Linked DNA regions of Stegostoma tigrinum. The protein of the gene in region 1 interacts with the protein of each later gene in a pairwise test. Links are inferred from orthologs where the notes say so. Each region holds a gene or a part of one and is shown on either strand. Other genes may lie near its edges. The genes, in order: tnnt1 and nfe2l2a.

Region 1 (8,192 bases):
TGAGCCAGGAGTCACAGGTTCAAATCCCACCTGTAAGTGTCAGAACAAGTTAAGAGATTGATTTTTTTTAAAAAGTCTGCTCTGTGCTGTGTGAGCAGTAACTAAGGACTCAAAGAGACAAGTATCAACAGATGCTGGAGGTCCATCAATTCATGGAAAGATATCCTTTCACTCACTGGTCTTTCAGCACAAAGATCTGTCAGCACCTGATTGTTGCAGACAGGCACATTTCAAAGCCCAGGACTACACACTAGTGGGGGTTGGGCCAAAGCTTGGGCTAGTCACTCAATGGGGAAAGGCCACTGTGTAAGGCCCACCTACTATACTATACCAAGGAGGTGAAAAACATGTAAACAGCCCCTTGGACAGTATGCACAAGCAAACCTTTGATATGAAATATATTGTGTAAATATAGTCTGTAATTGTGAATGCAATGAGTGCAATGTGTCACATCCTGCTTTGAGAAAAACTGATCTGCATTGCAAGTCAAAATTGAATTGTATGCAAGTTTACAAGTTTACAAAATATTACTTTGTAAAAATCTACGTCAGATGTATGCACAAAGCACTGTCTTACACAGGGGAGTGGCGTGGGAAGAGGTAACCATAGAAAATAGGAGCTGCAGTAGGCTTTTCAGCCCTTGAGCCTGTTCCATCATTCAATATAATTGCAGCCTTTTATTTATTCATTCATAGGATGTGGATGTTGCAGGCCAGGTGAATATTTATAACCCATACCTAATTGCCCAGAGGGTATCCAGAGTCACACATAGACCAGGATGGCAGATTTCCTTCTCTAAAGGAAGGGCATCAGAATTAGAATTAGAATTAGCTTCATTATCATGTGTACTCAAATGAATTCAGTAAAAAAAAGTTTACAAGTCATCTCTTACAGCACCGTTTTAGATACAAAGGGACCTAGGTACAGCTTCTTCAGTTACAAGATGTTAGAAGGATAGTGAAATAAAATGTCCAGCATTGCAGAAATAAAAGTTCAGAACAAAGGTCTTCCAACCCCGACCATGTTTGCACCTAGCCTGCTGTACACACCCGGCATTGGCTCCAGACTGTGCTGGGCTTCACCTCAAGGTTCATGAGGCTGGTAGATCACTGTGGAATCACCTCAAGATCATGAGGCCATGCCAGGCCAAGGGACAGCCACACCATGCTGGGAGTCTGCCACGCCACATCAGGAGGCCACCATGTTTGGCCAGGAGACAACTACACCAGAGAGAACCCTCTATTAGAGGACCCCCCCCCCGCATCATGTCTGCACTGAGGCCGCGAGTCATCGGATCAATGAACCAGGATAATAAAACGTGAGGCTGGATGAACACAGCAGGCCAAGCAGCATCTCAGGAGCACAAAAGCTGACGTTTCGGGCCTAGACCCTTCATCAGAGAGGGGGATGGGGGGAGGGAACTGGAATAAATAGGGAGAGAGGGGGAGGCGGACCGAAGATGGAGAGTACAAGAGAGTTGCAATGGGAGAGAGATTCCCTGAGGTTGGTCCGGAGGGAGGAGGGCTGTGTTAGCCTCACATTTTATTATCTTGTGCTCCTGAGATGCTGCTTGGCCTGCTGTGTTCATCCAGCCTCACATTTTGTTATCTTGGAATCTCCAGCATCTGCAGTTCCCATTATCTCTGATACTATTTTAACCTCACTGCGAAGCCTCTTCCAGGGATGCCTAACCTGAAGAAGTTACCCTCCTCCCTCCGGACCAACCTCAGGGAATCTCTCTCCCATTGCAACTCTCTTGTACTCTCCATCTTCGGTCCGCCTCCCCCTCTCTCCCTATTTATTCCAGTTCCCTCCCCCCATCCCCCTCTCTGATGAAGGGTCTAGGCCCGAAACGTCAGCTTTTGTGCTCCTGAGATGCTGCTTGGCCTGCTGTGTTCATCCAGCCTCACATTTTATTATCTTGGAATCTCCAGCATCTGCAGTTCCCATTATCTCTGATACTATTTTAACCTCACTGCGAAGCCTCTTCCAGGGATGCCTAACCTGAAGAAGTTACCCTCCTCCCTCCGGACCAACCTCAGGGAATCTCTCTCCCATTGCAACTCTCTTGTACACTCCATCTTCGGTCCGCCTCCCCCTCTCTCCCTATTTATTCCAGTTCCCTCCCCCCATCCCCCTCTCTGATGAAGGGTCTAGGCCCGAAACGTCAGCTTTTGTGCTCCTGAGATGCTGCTTGGCCTGCTGTGTTCATCCAGCCTCACATTTTATTATCTTGGAATCTCCAGCATCTGCAGTTCCCATTATCTCTGATACTATTTTAACTTCACTGCGAAGCCTCTTCCAGGGATGCCTAACCTGAAGAAGTTACCCTCCTCCCTCCGGACCAACCTCAGGGAATCTCTCTCCCATTGCAACTCTCTTGTACTCTCCATCTTCGGTCCGCCTCCCCCTCTCTCCCTATTTATTCCAGTTCCCTCCCCCCATCCCCCTCTCTGATGAAGGGTCTAGGCCCGAAACGTCAGCTTTTGTGCTCCTGAGATGCTGCTTGGCCTGCTGTGTTCATCCAGCCTCACATTTTATTATCTTGGAATCTCCAGCATCTGCAGTTCCCATTATCTCGGATCAATGAACCAGATGGGGTTTTCCAATCATCAACAACAGTGTAATGGTTGCCATCAGTTTTTTTTTACAATTGAATCCAAATTCCACCATCTGCTATGGCAGGATTTGAACATGGGACCCCATGACAGTTACCTGTGTCTCTGGATTAATAGTCCAGCCACAATACCACTAGGTCATCACCTCCTGCTTTATCCCTTCAGCCCTAAGTACTGTATCCAACTCCTTCTGGAAAACATCCTATGTTTAGTCCTCCAAATTTTTCTATGGCAACGAATTTGTCAGGGTCACTGCTGTCTGAGTGAAGACATTTCACTTCATCTCAGTCCTAAATAGCCTATCCCATTTCTTTACTGCACGATCCCTGCTTCTGGACTCCCCAGTTATCAGGAAAATACTTTCTGTGTTTACCATAGATAAATGGGCAGGCATTTGAACCGTTACGGTTGCAGCTTGGGGTCAAGCAATGGAAAAGAGAATGATGTTATTCTGAAAAACAGGACATCTTAAGATGTACATGATGGGACCGCAGGATGGAAGAGGCAGGTGGAAAAACATTGGAACAGCTGACAGAAGACTTCAGAAACCAAAGTGGAATTAGCTGTGTGATCAAATTGAAGAAATGTGGGATAATTTGGGTCGGGATAAAAGCATAAAATCACTTTTTGTGATTGTATGGCAGCTATTTCAATGGAAGTGCTAATCTAATCTAATCTAAATGTGGTCATGTTTCCATTAAAAGAATTGATGCACATCTCTACTACGTGATGCGATTCCATGATTTTATCATGATGTGGAGGTGCTAGTGATGGACTGGGGTGCCCAAAGTCGGATGTCACATGACACCACATTATAACCCAACAGGTTTATTTGAAATCACAAGCTTTTGGAGCATTGCTCCTTCATCAGGTGAACGTGGTGTGTGACTTCTGTCTATGATAATATCACCAATGAGAATTTTGTGGTTGCTTCACACCTCTCCAGTTTGAACACTTTGTTCTTGGGTTCAATAGGCTAACAGGAAAGTGGAATGATCTCGGCCCTCTGTCTTCTCCTGTCCTCAGATATTTCCACAGATGCATACCAGCTGCTAAACAGCACGTAGAGATGCACAGTCCTCTCTTTTCCCTCAAACATAAATGAAGATTCACCTCCTTTACCCGTTCAGCTGCTCCCCTCTTTGTCTCCCAGTACAAATACTAGCTGTCTCTCTCTACTTCCATTTGCTATCCCGCTTCCTCTTGTTTGTACGGATACCTTCTGAGGAAGGGCCACGTGACCCAAAAAGTTAACTGATTTCTCTCCAGACATTGCCAGGCCTGCTGAGCTTTTCTGGCAATTTCTGTTTTTGTCTCAGGACACCCGCCTTGAGCCCTACTTTGTACAGATCCCATTACTCCTTGTCTCATTGTACAGAAAATACTTACAGGATCATTAGATTTTATGGTACAGAAGAAGCCATTTGGCCCATTGTGTCTGTACCAGCTTCCAAAAGACCCTCCCAGCTAATCCCACTCTCCAGCCCTATCTCCGTAGCCCTCTAACATCATCCCTTTCAAATATATTTCCAGCTCTCTTTTGAAATCTTCCACGGAAACCACCTCCACCACTCTCCCAGGCCGCACATTGCAAATACCAAGAACTCTTTGAGTAAAGAAGATTTCCCTCATCTCACTCGGAGCCCTCATGCTGACAATCTTGAAATTGTGACCCCTAGTTATTAACATACCAACTAATGGAAACAGAATATCTATAGAACTCCTTCCACACCTCCCTTACAATGCCCCACCCTCTTTCAGACAAGGCTGAACCCTCACTTTGTCCAAGCATCTTGTGAAGCCATCCACAAGTATGATATTTTGAAGCAATAGAGTCATAGAGATGTACAGCATGGAAACAGACCTTTCGGTCCAACCCATCCATGCCAACCAGATATCCTAAACAAATCTGGTCCCATTTGGCAGCATTTGGCCCATATCCCTCATGTACCCATCCTGGTTCCTTTTAAATGTTGTCATTGTACCAGCCTCCACCACCTCCTCTGGCAGCTCGATCCATATACCTACCTCCCTCTGCATGAAAATATTGCCCCTCAGGTCCGTTCTAAATATTTCCCGGTCACCTTAAACCTATGTCATCGAGTTTTGGACTCCCCTACCCTGGGGAAAAGACCTTGACTATTCACTCTATCCATGCCCCTCATGATTTTATAAACTTCTATAAGGACACGTCTCATCCTCCGATGCTCCAGGGAAAACAACCTCTCGCTATACCTCAAACCCTCCTACCATGGCAACATCATTGTGAATCTTTTCTGAACCCTTTCAAGTTTCACAACATCTTTTCTGTAGCAGGAAGAACAGAACTGAAAGCCCTATTCCAAAAGTGACCTAACCAATAAAAAAAATTCCACATTCGATGGATTTTTTATTTGCCTTCTGCTGATCCTGTACATTATCAAGACTTTCTCCATGTTATCAGCCTCTGTCTCCATCCAGTATCATTTATTCTTCTTTAACATGTAAGTCTATTTAAAGGAACACACCAAATTTCCTCTTTGTTCTCCTTTGCACAGAGACCAGCCAAATAAAGACGGAGTGTCAGATTTCCCAGGCTAGTCTGTCCTGTAATTCCTGCCCTGTCTTCACTCTTTAACAGACACAGGAGGCATTCACATCCATCTCTCTCTCTCCCTTTATTCCTTTCTCCAACAGCCTTTTTCAGGTAAGGCAAAGCTGTTTGTTTAGTAGAGCTAGCTCAATCTGGCTCCTATAGTTAAAGGATAAAGGTACTTCTTTCCAATTTTCCTTCCTTTCTTGTGGCTTCCGTTTGGGAACCAAGGAGTAGAACCCAGTGATGTTGGATCCTGGATCCAATGATTCGGTACTGAAACATTTCTCATTGATAGCAAGGCTGTCCATATCAGGGATTATCTTGATTGTGGATTGTGTTTGATGATTCAAAAGGCCTCAAATTAATTTAATCATGTGAACTCCTTTTATTTTAAAGTGCATTGAGTAAAAATTGATCATGGTGACAGAGTTTTGCTGCACAGCGTTGATCATCAGAGGAGCTCGATTCTTTGCTGATTGCGATCACTGTAGTTTTTGGTCAGCGATTCTGATCGCTTCGTAAGGACAATGTATAGCTCAGCCGTTCTCAGTATAGCTGAGTTGCTTGGTTTCAACCATGGGAACCAGTTCTGACGCTGCAAAAAAGCTCAGCACCTACTTAGCGAGAGAAAAAAAAATCAAGAAAGGTCACACACTTCTGATTGCATCAGGTTTCTTCACCTTCAGAAGCTAGGGGCACGCCAATGTTGAGTGACAATAGAGCTGCACTGTGATGGCTCTATATTCAACTGAAACTCGCTGTCTGAGTTCATTCATAAAGAACAGCAACTCAGGTGAGGCATCAGAGGTCTCCTAGCAGAAGCTAATGGGAACAGGAGAGCAGGTTAATGAAGAAGAAAAGTTATTTGCAATACAGGAAGGGGCAGTACCAGAAATAATATTCATAATCCACTTGAAAATAAAGCTATTACTAGGGTCAATTTTTGCATCAGTTTACAATCTAGCATGCACCCTAATTATGTATCTGTGTTTTCCCATTTGGGATTGTAGTCGTTAGTTTTGAAATAATGTTCCGGTTGGCGACTTATTCCAAAGTATGCTAATATTTGATACCACTCCCCGTCTTCCACAATGTGTTGTTGAGATTATCTGAGATGATAACTGTGACAACGGATCTGGAAACACAAGACGGTTGGAAGGAACACGACTGCAAAAGTGTGATTGTAGGTGGTTGCAAAGCCAACAACAGCTGCAACAAGTTGCATTGATATAGCCCCTCAGGGTCTCAAGGTGATTTACAAGAATGTAATCAGACAAAGATGGGGATCAATCCAAAGAAGGAGCTGGTAGGACAAACTGGCCAAACGTTGATCAAAGACATCAGCTTTCAGAAAATATCTTGGAGGAAGGGAAGCAGGTGGAGGGTCTGGGTAAGGAGGGAGGGGATTCCAGAGCTTCGTGCCGTGATCACCAAAGGTGAGGCTGGCAAGCATGAGCTGGAGGAAGTGGATGATGTGAAAGTGGCCAAAGTTGAAGGAATTGCAGGGTTCTGTCAGCGGGCTAGGGAGGAAGGGAGGGGCGAGGTCATGTGGAGCTTTGAAAGCAGGGAATTTACATATCGTGAATTATCTGCTTCTGTGACTGTCATTAAACTCAGAGTTGAAACCATATGGGAAATCTGTTTTATGCTTCAGAAAATGTAAAATTTCCATTCTATTTCTACCTTATTTTAACTGGTGTGAATAAACTGCTTCCACGATAGAAGTACATGCTTAAAATTATTAGAAAGTTTGAATTTTGTTTCTTGTTTGAAAAATATTTTAACAAGTCACACAACGCCAGGTTATAATCCAACAGGCTTATTTGAAATCACAAGCTTTGGGAGCACTGCAGCTTTGTCAGTGAAGTTCTGAGTCTTGTCTTCGGCACTCTATAGGGCTCCAATGAATCGCAGCGTAAACTGGTGAAACAACATCTCATCTTCAGACTAGGCACTTGACAGCCTTCTGGACTTAATATCGAGTTCAACACCTTCAAATGGTGAACCAATTCCCATTCCTTCCCTTCCTTTTAGCTTTACCTGTTACATTCTCTGTGAAAGTGTCTTCTCTCCCCTGCCCCCCACTTCCGAAGGGACTGTCTGTTTTTCAAACATAATAGATATCTTTATGCACACCACTGTTCTGCCATTCTCACATTCTGGTCACTTAATCTGAACAACAAACATTCTTGCTGCCCTCAGCACTCCAACCCCACCCTCCCCCATCTATTGCATAAATGCTGCACCCCACCAACACTTCACGCTAGCTCTGATGAAGAGTCATCTAAGCTCGAAATGTTAGCTTGCTCCCTCTCTAAGAATGCTGCCTGACCCGCTGTGATCTCCAGAATTTGTTATTTGCAGTACACGCTCCAGCATCTGCAGTAATTTGCTCCTCAAATATTGTGGATTCATTATCTGTTATCGACTAATCCCCTACAGTTTGCTATTCCAGGCACATAAATGTTGCACAGCTGCACAGACCAAGGTTGTATTCCTTCGAGATAACAAAGTGTGGAGCTGAATGAACACAGCAGGCCAAGCAGCATCTTAGGAGCACAAAAGCTGACGTTTCGGGCCTAGACCCTTCTAGTCTAGATGACTAAGAGGTGATATAATTAAGGTGTTCAAGATTACTGAAGGATATTGTGAGATGGAGAGAGAGAGGAACTATTTCATCCGATAGGGAACAAGGGGGCGTGACGTTAAAACGAGACCCAGGCTGATAAGGGAACAATACCGTGTGCTTAGGTTAGTGGGAGTTTGAGGCTAAAGTGTCAACTGAAATTTCAAAACTGACATTGATGGATTTTCATTGGCCGATGACATTGCAGGTCACACAGCAGCAGTGAGTAAATAAAATGAAATTAGAGATGACCTATTTGAATTAGGGAACAGTCTCCAGGGGCTGAGAGACCTCCGCCCATTCCTTTCCTCCTATGAATGCAGAATTTTTATAAACTTCTGTGTGTGCTGTTCTTGTTGCACGGGTTACTGAC
Region 2 (8,040 bases), on another chromosome or scaffold:
TGATAGAGGGTTACTTTACAGACTGGAGGCCTGTGGCCAGTGGTGTGCCACAAGGTTGGTGCTGGGACCACTGCTTTTTTGTCATTTATATAAATTATTTTTAATGTGAACATAGGAGGCATGGTTAGTAAGTTTGCAGATGAAACCAAAATTGGTGGAGTAGTGGGCAGTGAAGAAGGTTACTCAAAGAACCATAAGACATAGGAGTGGAAGTAAGGCCATTCGGCCCATCAAGTCCACTCCGCCATTTAAATCATCGCTGATGGGCATTTCAACACCACTTCCCTGCACTCTCCCCGTAGCCCTTGATTCCTTTGAGATCAAGAATTTGTCGATCTCTGCCGTGAAGGCATCCAATGTCCCGGCCTCCACTGCACTCTGCGGCAAGTAATTCCGCAAGCCCACCACTCTCTGGCTGAAGAAATGTCGTCTCATTTCAGTTTTAAATTTACCCCCTCTAATTTTAAGGCTGTGCCCACGGGTCCTAGTCTCCCCGCCTAACGGAAACAACGGAATCTTGATCAAATGCGCCAATGGGCTGAGGAGTGGCAGATAGAGTTTAATTTAAATAAATGTGAGGGGCTGCATTTTGGAAAGGCCAATCAGGGCAGAGCTTATACACTGAATGATAAGGCCCAGGGGTGTGTTGCTGAACAGTGAGACCTTGGAATGCAGGTTCATATTTCCTCAAAAGTAGAGTTATTAGGATAGTGAAGAAGGCATTTGGTATGTTTGCCTTTATTAGTAAGTTGATTGAGTATAGAAGCTCTCTGATGAAGGGTCTAGGCCCGAAACGTCAGCTTTTGTGCTCCTGAGATGCTGCTGGGCCTGTTGTGTTCATCCAGCCTCACATTTTATTATCTTGGATTCTCCAGCATCTGCAGTTCCCATTATCACTGAATATAGAAGTTAGGAGGTCATGTTGCAGCTGTACAGGACATTGGTTAGCCCACTATTGGAATACTGCATGCAATTCTGGTCTCCCTGCTTTAGGAAGGAAGTTGTGAAACTTGAAAGGGCTCGGAAAAGATTTACAAGGATGTTGCCAGAGTAGAGGGCTTGAGCTATAGAGAGAGTATGAATAGGCTACTACTATTTTCCCTCGAGTATCGGAGGCTGTGGGGTGACCTTATAGAAGTTTATAAAATCACAACGATTCTGGATGGGGTGAATAGACAAGGTCTTTTTCCTAGGGTAGAGGAGTTCAAAACCAGGGGGCATAGGTCTATGATGAGAGGGGAAAGATTTAAAAGGGATCTAAGGGGCAACTTTTTCACATAGAGAGTGGTGCTTATATGGAGTAAGCAGCCAGAGGAAGTGGTGGAGGCTACTACAATTGCAACATTTAAAAGGCATCTGGATGGGTACTTGATTAGGAAGGGTTTAAAGTGATATGGACTAAATACTGGCAAATGGAACCAGATTAATTTAGGGTATCTGGTTGGCATGATGAGTTGGACCGAAGTGCCTGTTTCCCTGCTGTACATCTCTATGAGCCTATGACTCAGTGAGATTTGTGTGGATATTACCAGGACTGAAAACGTTAGTTATAAGGAAAGATTACATAGGCTGAAGTTGTTCTCCTTGCAATAGAGGAAGCTGAAGGGAGATTTAATTGAGGTGTACAAAATTGTCAGGGACCTGAATAAGGACTTACGGAAAGGACTTATTTACCTCAGCAGAGCTGTCAGTAATGAGGGGGCACAGGGTTGAAGTGATTGGTGGAAAGATCAGAAAGCAGATTAGGAATATATTTTTTCATTCACAGGACGGAGACTGCCTGAAATAGTAGTAGAGATAGAAGCTCTGGACTAATTTCAAAAGATGTCTGGGATAACCATTATGAGCACTGGAGCTGAAGAGCTATGAACTAAATGCGGCAAAGTGAGATAACAGCAGGCTGTTCGATTTTTGACTGGCACAGACACAATGGGCCAAATGACTTTTATTTTCCTTCCTATAGATATTCTATAAATGTTCCTACTGAAATAAATCACCTCATGCTACATTGGTGAATACTGAGTTTCGTTTTTATTTAAACCTGTTTTCAACTTTTCTAATGTTTTATGTTCTTCAATTTGTGTTAAATAATTCTGAGTGTGATACATTTTATGAAGTCATTCTTGAACAGTAATTTTCACTGTGAAATCTTTGAAATTATATCTGTAACTGTTACTTCAAAACTAAATCAATCTGCAGTCATTTTCTGTGATGGAAATGGAGCAAATACCGTATAAACCTTTTTGCAGTCTAAATTGGAACTTATTTCATCACTCAGATATTTGAACATTATAAATTTGGTACTTTTAGAGACTTTGCCTACATCCTGGACCCTCCACAAAAGTGTGTATCATCCAGAAAATTGAGGATCCAATGTCACAAACTTTTATTAATTTATCAATAGTTTCCCTGAATCAATTTCCCTCACTGCCAGCCTGCTAAATTGATGGAGGGTGTTCAAGAAGCCATTGTCAGAGGACGAGAGAGTGCTGGAGCATTGGAAGAGTACATAAAAGGGATTTACAGATGAATATTAAATTGAAAGCATTGACGGATCCCAAATCTTCAGCGTGTGGTTGGCAATTTATATACATGCTACATGTACAGATGATCATACGAATGTAACTGTGATCTAATCAATAATCCATGGCTGAAACAGTTTTATGTCAGATGATAAGGAAACCTAAGGTGTTAAAAAAGGCATTTAGCAAGCCTATCTTCATTGCACAGACCATTATGTATAGGAGTTGGGATGTTATGTTGAGGTTGAACAGGATATTAGTTAGGCCACTCTTGGAGTGCTCTGTACAGTTCTGGTTGCCCTGCTTAGGAAAGTTATTACTAATTTGCAACATTTAACATGTACAGGCTCATGAATAGGAAATGTTTGGAGGTTTGTGGGCCAAATGCAGGCAAATGAGACTTTTTTTTTAAATTTGGGAAACGTAGACAGCATGGATGAGTTGGCACAAAGGGTCTGTTTCGGTTCTTTATGACTTTGTGCTGTCCAATAGTGTTGACTATATGGTCCTCCATCCTTTATACTTATGTCTAGGGTGTTGTCAGAATGCCAAGCTACTCTCCCCAATGCCAAATGTCCGAACCGAATGAAATCCAAAGTAGCATTAAGGAAAATTGAATGTTTGAAATACACAATAAAGTTGGAAAATGTACGTAGATCCGTCGGGTAAAATAATATTTTCTCGTTTGAAATTTTCTGCGAATTTCCTGTATTCTATGGTTTTAATTTTGAAATCCAATAATTTCACTTCCTCAAAAGGTACAGAAGTGGGAAAAATACAGTATTTCTACTTTAATTGTTCTGGATGTGCAACTAAATAACTACGAAATTTTATATATAAACATACTGAAGTTTTTGTCTTCATTGAATGCTGCAACAAAATTATATACAGGTATTCATTTATAGACAGTCTGGGAATATAAAGATTTAAATTTAATTTAGAAAGCAATTGTGAGGGTATGCTGATCACAAACTGTCTGTGTCTTAAATTCATTCATGGGATGTGAGTGTTGCTGTCATTTATTGCCTATTCCTTGCCATACCGATTTTAATCAATAGTATTTCTATCTTTATTGATCAGCTTTGATGTTTAACATGTTTTCACTTCGGAGCAGGTAGGTAGGTAAAACTTCGTAAAACTGTCCGTTTTACCTTCGGCACAGCCTGCATATGAGGATTTAAAATGCAAAACACAATCCTAAAAACGTTATGAAATAACATTTTTAAAAATTGCCATTTATCGCAACATTGCTTCATATGCGGCCCTGCTGCCCTACCGTGGAGGCAGCACCATTGCGCAATTTCAGGGACGTCATTTAAAAGGGGACTTTTTGCCGAGAATGTTTTCCAGTTCCTCAGGAAGGTTCTGAGACCGACTGCGGAGGCGGGCCAGACATTATGCGATGGATTGTATTTCGTGTGAGTGCTTATGAAAAAAGCTCTTTGGATAAACATCGATGTCAGCTTCAAATTTTAACTATTGTACATCTATACTGAATTGAATGTCTCTTTAAACCTGATTGAATGAAGTGGTTTTATTTGTTGATTTTGTTTTTTCCTAGATATAGCCTTTTAAAACTATATATATTTTCTATTCGTATTTCGATTAAATACGTGACCATTTCTAAACTTATTTTTTAAAATGCTTATATCCAATGGTTTTGCTATAAGTACTGTAAGTATCAAACTTCCTGGGGGAGGGATTTAAGCCATATTATGAAAGCTGATCTTGTTCACGGTCATTTCGAATTTTAAGTGTTAATATACCATTTTCATCCTTTATGTCCACAATACCCTGTATTTTTTAATACATGTAAATACATAGACCTATACGGAGAGGATATGCTCCTATTACAATAAAACAAACTATACTCTTAATTATACGGCGTTGCTGATCCTGGGGTTATGAATGATCTCTTTAGATTTGAAATCAATCAAAAAGCCAGACATTACCATTTGTGCAATATTTTGCACTCAACGTGCGGGTCTGTACCGCTCCTTTTCATACAATCAAATTATACCTGGCACAAAGTGTTCGGTTCGGAAGACCGGACTGACGATGACGGCTGGGTGGAGGAACGGCCTGATGATCGACAGGGTGGGAGCGAATCGCAATGGTGGGGGCGGGACGTGAAGCGTGATTGACGGAGAGACGCGGCCTGTTGAGTGGTCCGGGCGGCGGTGGGCAGGGCTAGGGCTGAGTCTCGCGGAGCTCTGGCCAGCGTGCGTCATAAGAGCTGGAAGAGTCAGGCCGGTTGCGCGTGATCGAAGGGGGTGATAGGTAGCGACGATGGAGATCGAGCGGTCAGTGGCGCAGCAGCAGGTACAGATGCCAGTCGGTGTCTAGTAATCTCTCAGCGACAGCTTCAGTATAGACAGCAGGGAAACGTTGCGGAGCAAATTGACCGGAGGCGGCCCGGGGGAAAACATGTAGCAAAGGGAGGCAAGCTAGTTAAACTTTAAAGATAGTTTGCTCTGACCGTGTTACGCGAAGGTTTTCAATGTGGCGGTGGATCGTTTACGTGAAAATGTACAGGTTCTCGTGAATAAAGTAAATTGGGTGGCTAGTTTTAAGATCGCGGTCATTTGTCTCTCCTCCTTCCCCTCATCAATTTTCATCATCTTTTTGGATTGGACTTCCTCACCCATCTACTCCTACGACATATTTTCGAAGCCTCTGACGATATGAAGCGCAACGATGGGACCTGGGCATTTGCCCAAAGCGTTATTTCGGAATCTGCGCCAAACTTATTGCACAATGCCAAGTCATTTTATTGTCCTGAAAAGTGTCTGAAAAAGATTGGCCGCAAGGACATTTGTCTGTATCGTTCGGGTCCCCATGATGGTAACTTTGCGTGGGCCAGTGCAGCGTTTCCCAGTCTTGTGATTTTTTTTCTTCTGAAGAGCTTTCGAGCTTGGTTGTCGTCTGACCCCTTGAGGTTTCCAGCTGATATCAGGGTGTGATCTTGTTCCCACCCACAAGCCTTTACAGTAACTGAATGGCAGGTGAAAGACAAGCTGGTCTGACAAGGGTTTGGTTCTGTTTATCGAACGCTCAGTAAACGTAGTGATTAAAAATAAAATCTAGTGTCTTCTTTTAAACTTTAAACTCTTTCCCTTCCTCTCCGTAACCTGTCAAACCGCTTGTTCCTCCTTTATTTGTCCTAACATTTCAATTCGGTGTGTTGTGTCACGTGAGTTGCATTCGCGTTTGGCTAGATTCCTGACCTTTAGTACGAGTGCAGCGATTGTAGGACAGCATTTTTTTTCTGGTAGTAAATGATTGATATCGATGCCTTGACTGATTTGCGTGATGATGTGAAATACTTACTGTACGGTGAAGGTCATTAGCCACAGATGGAATCTCGTAATGGTTGCAGTACAAGAAGCCGTTCCACCCGTTTTGTTCCGGCTGGATCTACAGAGTTCGGATCAAATTAATTAGTCAACTTCTTGGCTGTGTATTGTACAAAGTAAAGGATGAAAATGGAGATAACAATTTTTCAAAAAAAAGTTTTTAAAGAACAATGGAGGCCTGCCAAGGAATTATTCTACTTTTGTCTATTGCTCCATCACTGAAATTTGCAACCCTTGTTATTTTATTATTGGGAAGGTTCACAGCTGTATGAAGTTGTTGTCTAGGTACCTTTGCTAAGTTTTTACTCAATCTAGTTGTCTTTAGTGTAGGCATTGTTTAATTACTTTAACTGCTAATTTACATGTTCAAACATTTCATTTCCTTCCTTTCTAATTGGCTGTTGTTTTGATCCAATGCCGTACTCTGGGCACTAAGAATATTATGAAAAAGAACTGTTTACTTTTTTCTTTTAAAAAAAACTGTATAATATGCCTAGGTGAGTCAAAAATTCCTTTGCCTGTCAATCACTGACAGTCAGCATTTCTACAGCACTCTTCAGTGTGTTGTGTCACGCCAGGTAAAATATCTCTGGGTGATTGATGGGAGTGTTATCAAACAAAATTAAACCATGAGTTATTCGGTCATTTGACCGATAGCCTGCTCAAAGATGTACATTTCAAGTCATGTCTTAAAGAAACCAAGAGGTTTGTGAAATAAGTGTTGCTTCAAGTGTGCAAAAGTCCACTTTGGATGGATTTGTACGGTGCACTAGTTTTATTTTGGTCATGCTGGCTACTAGCTATGTAACTACACTTCATGGCTGCAGCCCAGTTGTTAAGGTAGGTAATCAATAGCCAATAGCAAGTTTACTTTGAAATGGAGAGAAGGATGGAGGTAAATCTCGATCTGTTGACTTGATTACCCATTTGTATTTGTTACTCGTGGATTGAAAATATCTATTGGTGTTCCTTAATTTTGTGTTAAGAGATAACAAGGTGTGGAGCTGGATGAACACAGGCCGAGCAGAATCAGAGGAGGACGGCTGACGTTTTGGGCCCATCAGCTTGCAAAATTGCAGTAACGTTTCCTGGCTGAGAAGCCACAATCAGAAAAGCACATACGTCGTCACTCATTATATTTTTTTCCCACGATAGTAAGAATCTGCATCTGAATGAGCCTGTGCATACCTTTTCATGACTCCACAAGCCAATGTCATTTTTGGACTACCCAGAGGATGTTAGATGCAGCTGCCTGAAAGGTGATGCAAATGAATTTCTGGTTTGATCAGCACCGTAAGACTGTCCCCATATCTATGAATTCTGGAGTTCCCAAGGATTTATCCTTGAAACTCACCCTCTTTTTTTCATGGAGATGCTGTTTGCTGACATCAGCTGTAGACGTATTCCAAATGTATCATGAAACCTGGCTTTACCTTGCCACCAACACTCTCCACTTAATCACTATCTTTTTGTTTTGTCAGATTATTTGTCTAACATGCTCACAATTATAAAATTTGGGAGGAACAAAGCATTTGAAGCTAGCTACCAATTTCATTCTGCTACCCGACAGCTATCTCTGTCTGAATCAGAATTTGCCACTTTGGTGTTCGACTTGACTCTGAGGATTTCCAATCTCATGTACTTTCCATCATACAGGCCACCTGCTTATGATGATCCACTGAGTCAGGCAATCTGCTGCTGAAACCTTAACCCTCTTATTTTCAGGCTTGACTATTTGAGTTCTCTCCACCTGATGAGCACTGAACTAAAAGAGACATTAGAAGTGGTGAATAAATGTTTGGTCAAAAAGCTGGTTTTAAGAAATCTCTTAAAGGAGAAAGGAAAGGTTTGACAAGGGAACTGGAACATAATGACAATACAGTTAATGGGTCACTTCCCATTTTACACTGCCAATGGTGGGACAAGACAGAAGAGGTCCAGCTGAGAACAATGCTATATTTAGGAAGTTGAAGGACTTGACAATACTATGAAAGAGACAAGTCAGAACACTTGTAAGCATAAGGACTACTTGAAATTTGAACAGTGCAGGACCATGATCCAATATAGATAAATGAACCTGGAGTACATTGGATTGAAATGAAGTGTAGAGTTTTTGGTTGAACTTCCATTTGTGGGAAATGGGAGGTTGACCAGGGAGCACT

The links.
Region 2: the proteins of tnnt1 (region 1) and nfe2l2a interact in binary tests that used the Homo sapiens proteins (3 or more experiments, as listed by UniProt). The two-hybrid records come from large-scale screens. The link is inferred for Stegostoma tigrinum from reciprocal best matches to the Homo sapiens genes TNNT1 and NFE2L2.

The regions. Positions count from the first base shown.
Region 1 is NC_081391.1:18,771,472-18,779,663, reverse strand, and holds the start of tnnt1 (troponin T, slow skeletal muscle), read left to right. Parts: upstream 1-5,192; 5' UTR 5,193-5,304; intron 5,305-8,192. UniProt on the Homo sapiens protein: Troponin T is the tropomyosin-binding subunit of troponin, the thin filament regulatory complex which confers calcium-sensitivity to striated muscle actomyosin ATPase activity.
Region 2 is NC_081360.1:45,395,305-45,403,344, forward strand, and holds the start of nfe2l2a (nuclear factor erythroid 2-related factor 2a), read left to right. Parts: upstream 1-4,728; 5' UTR 4,729-4,811; coding exon 4,812-4,844; intron 4,845-8,040.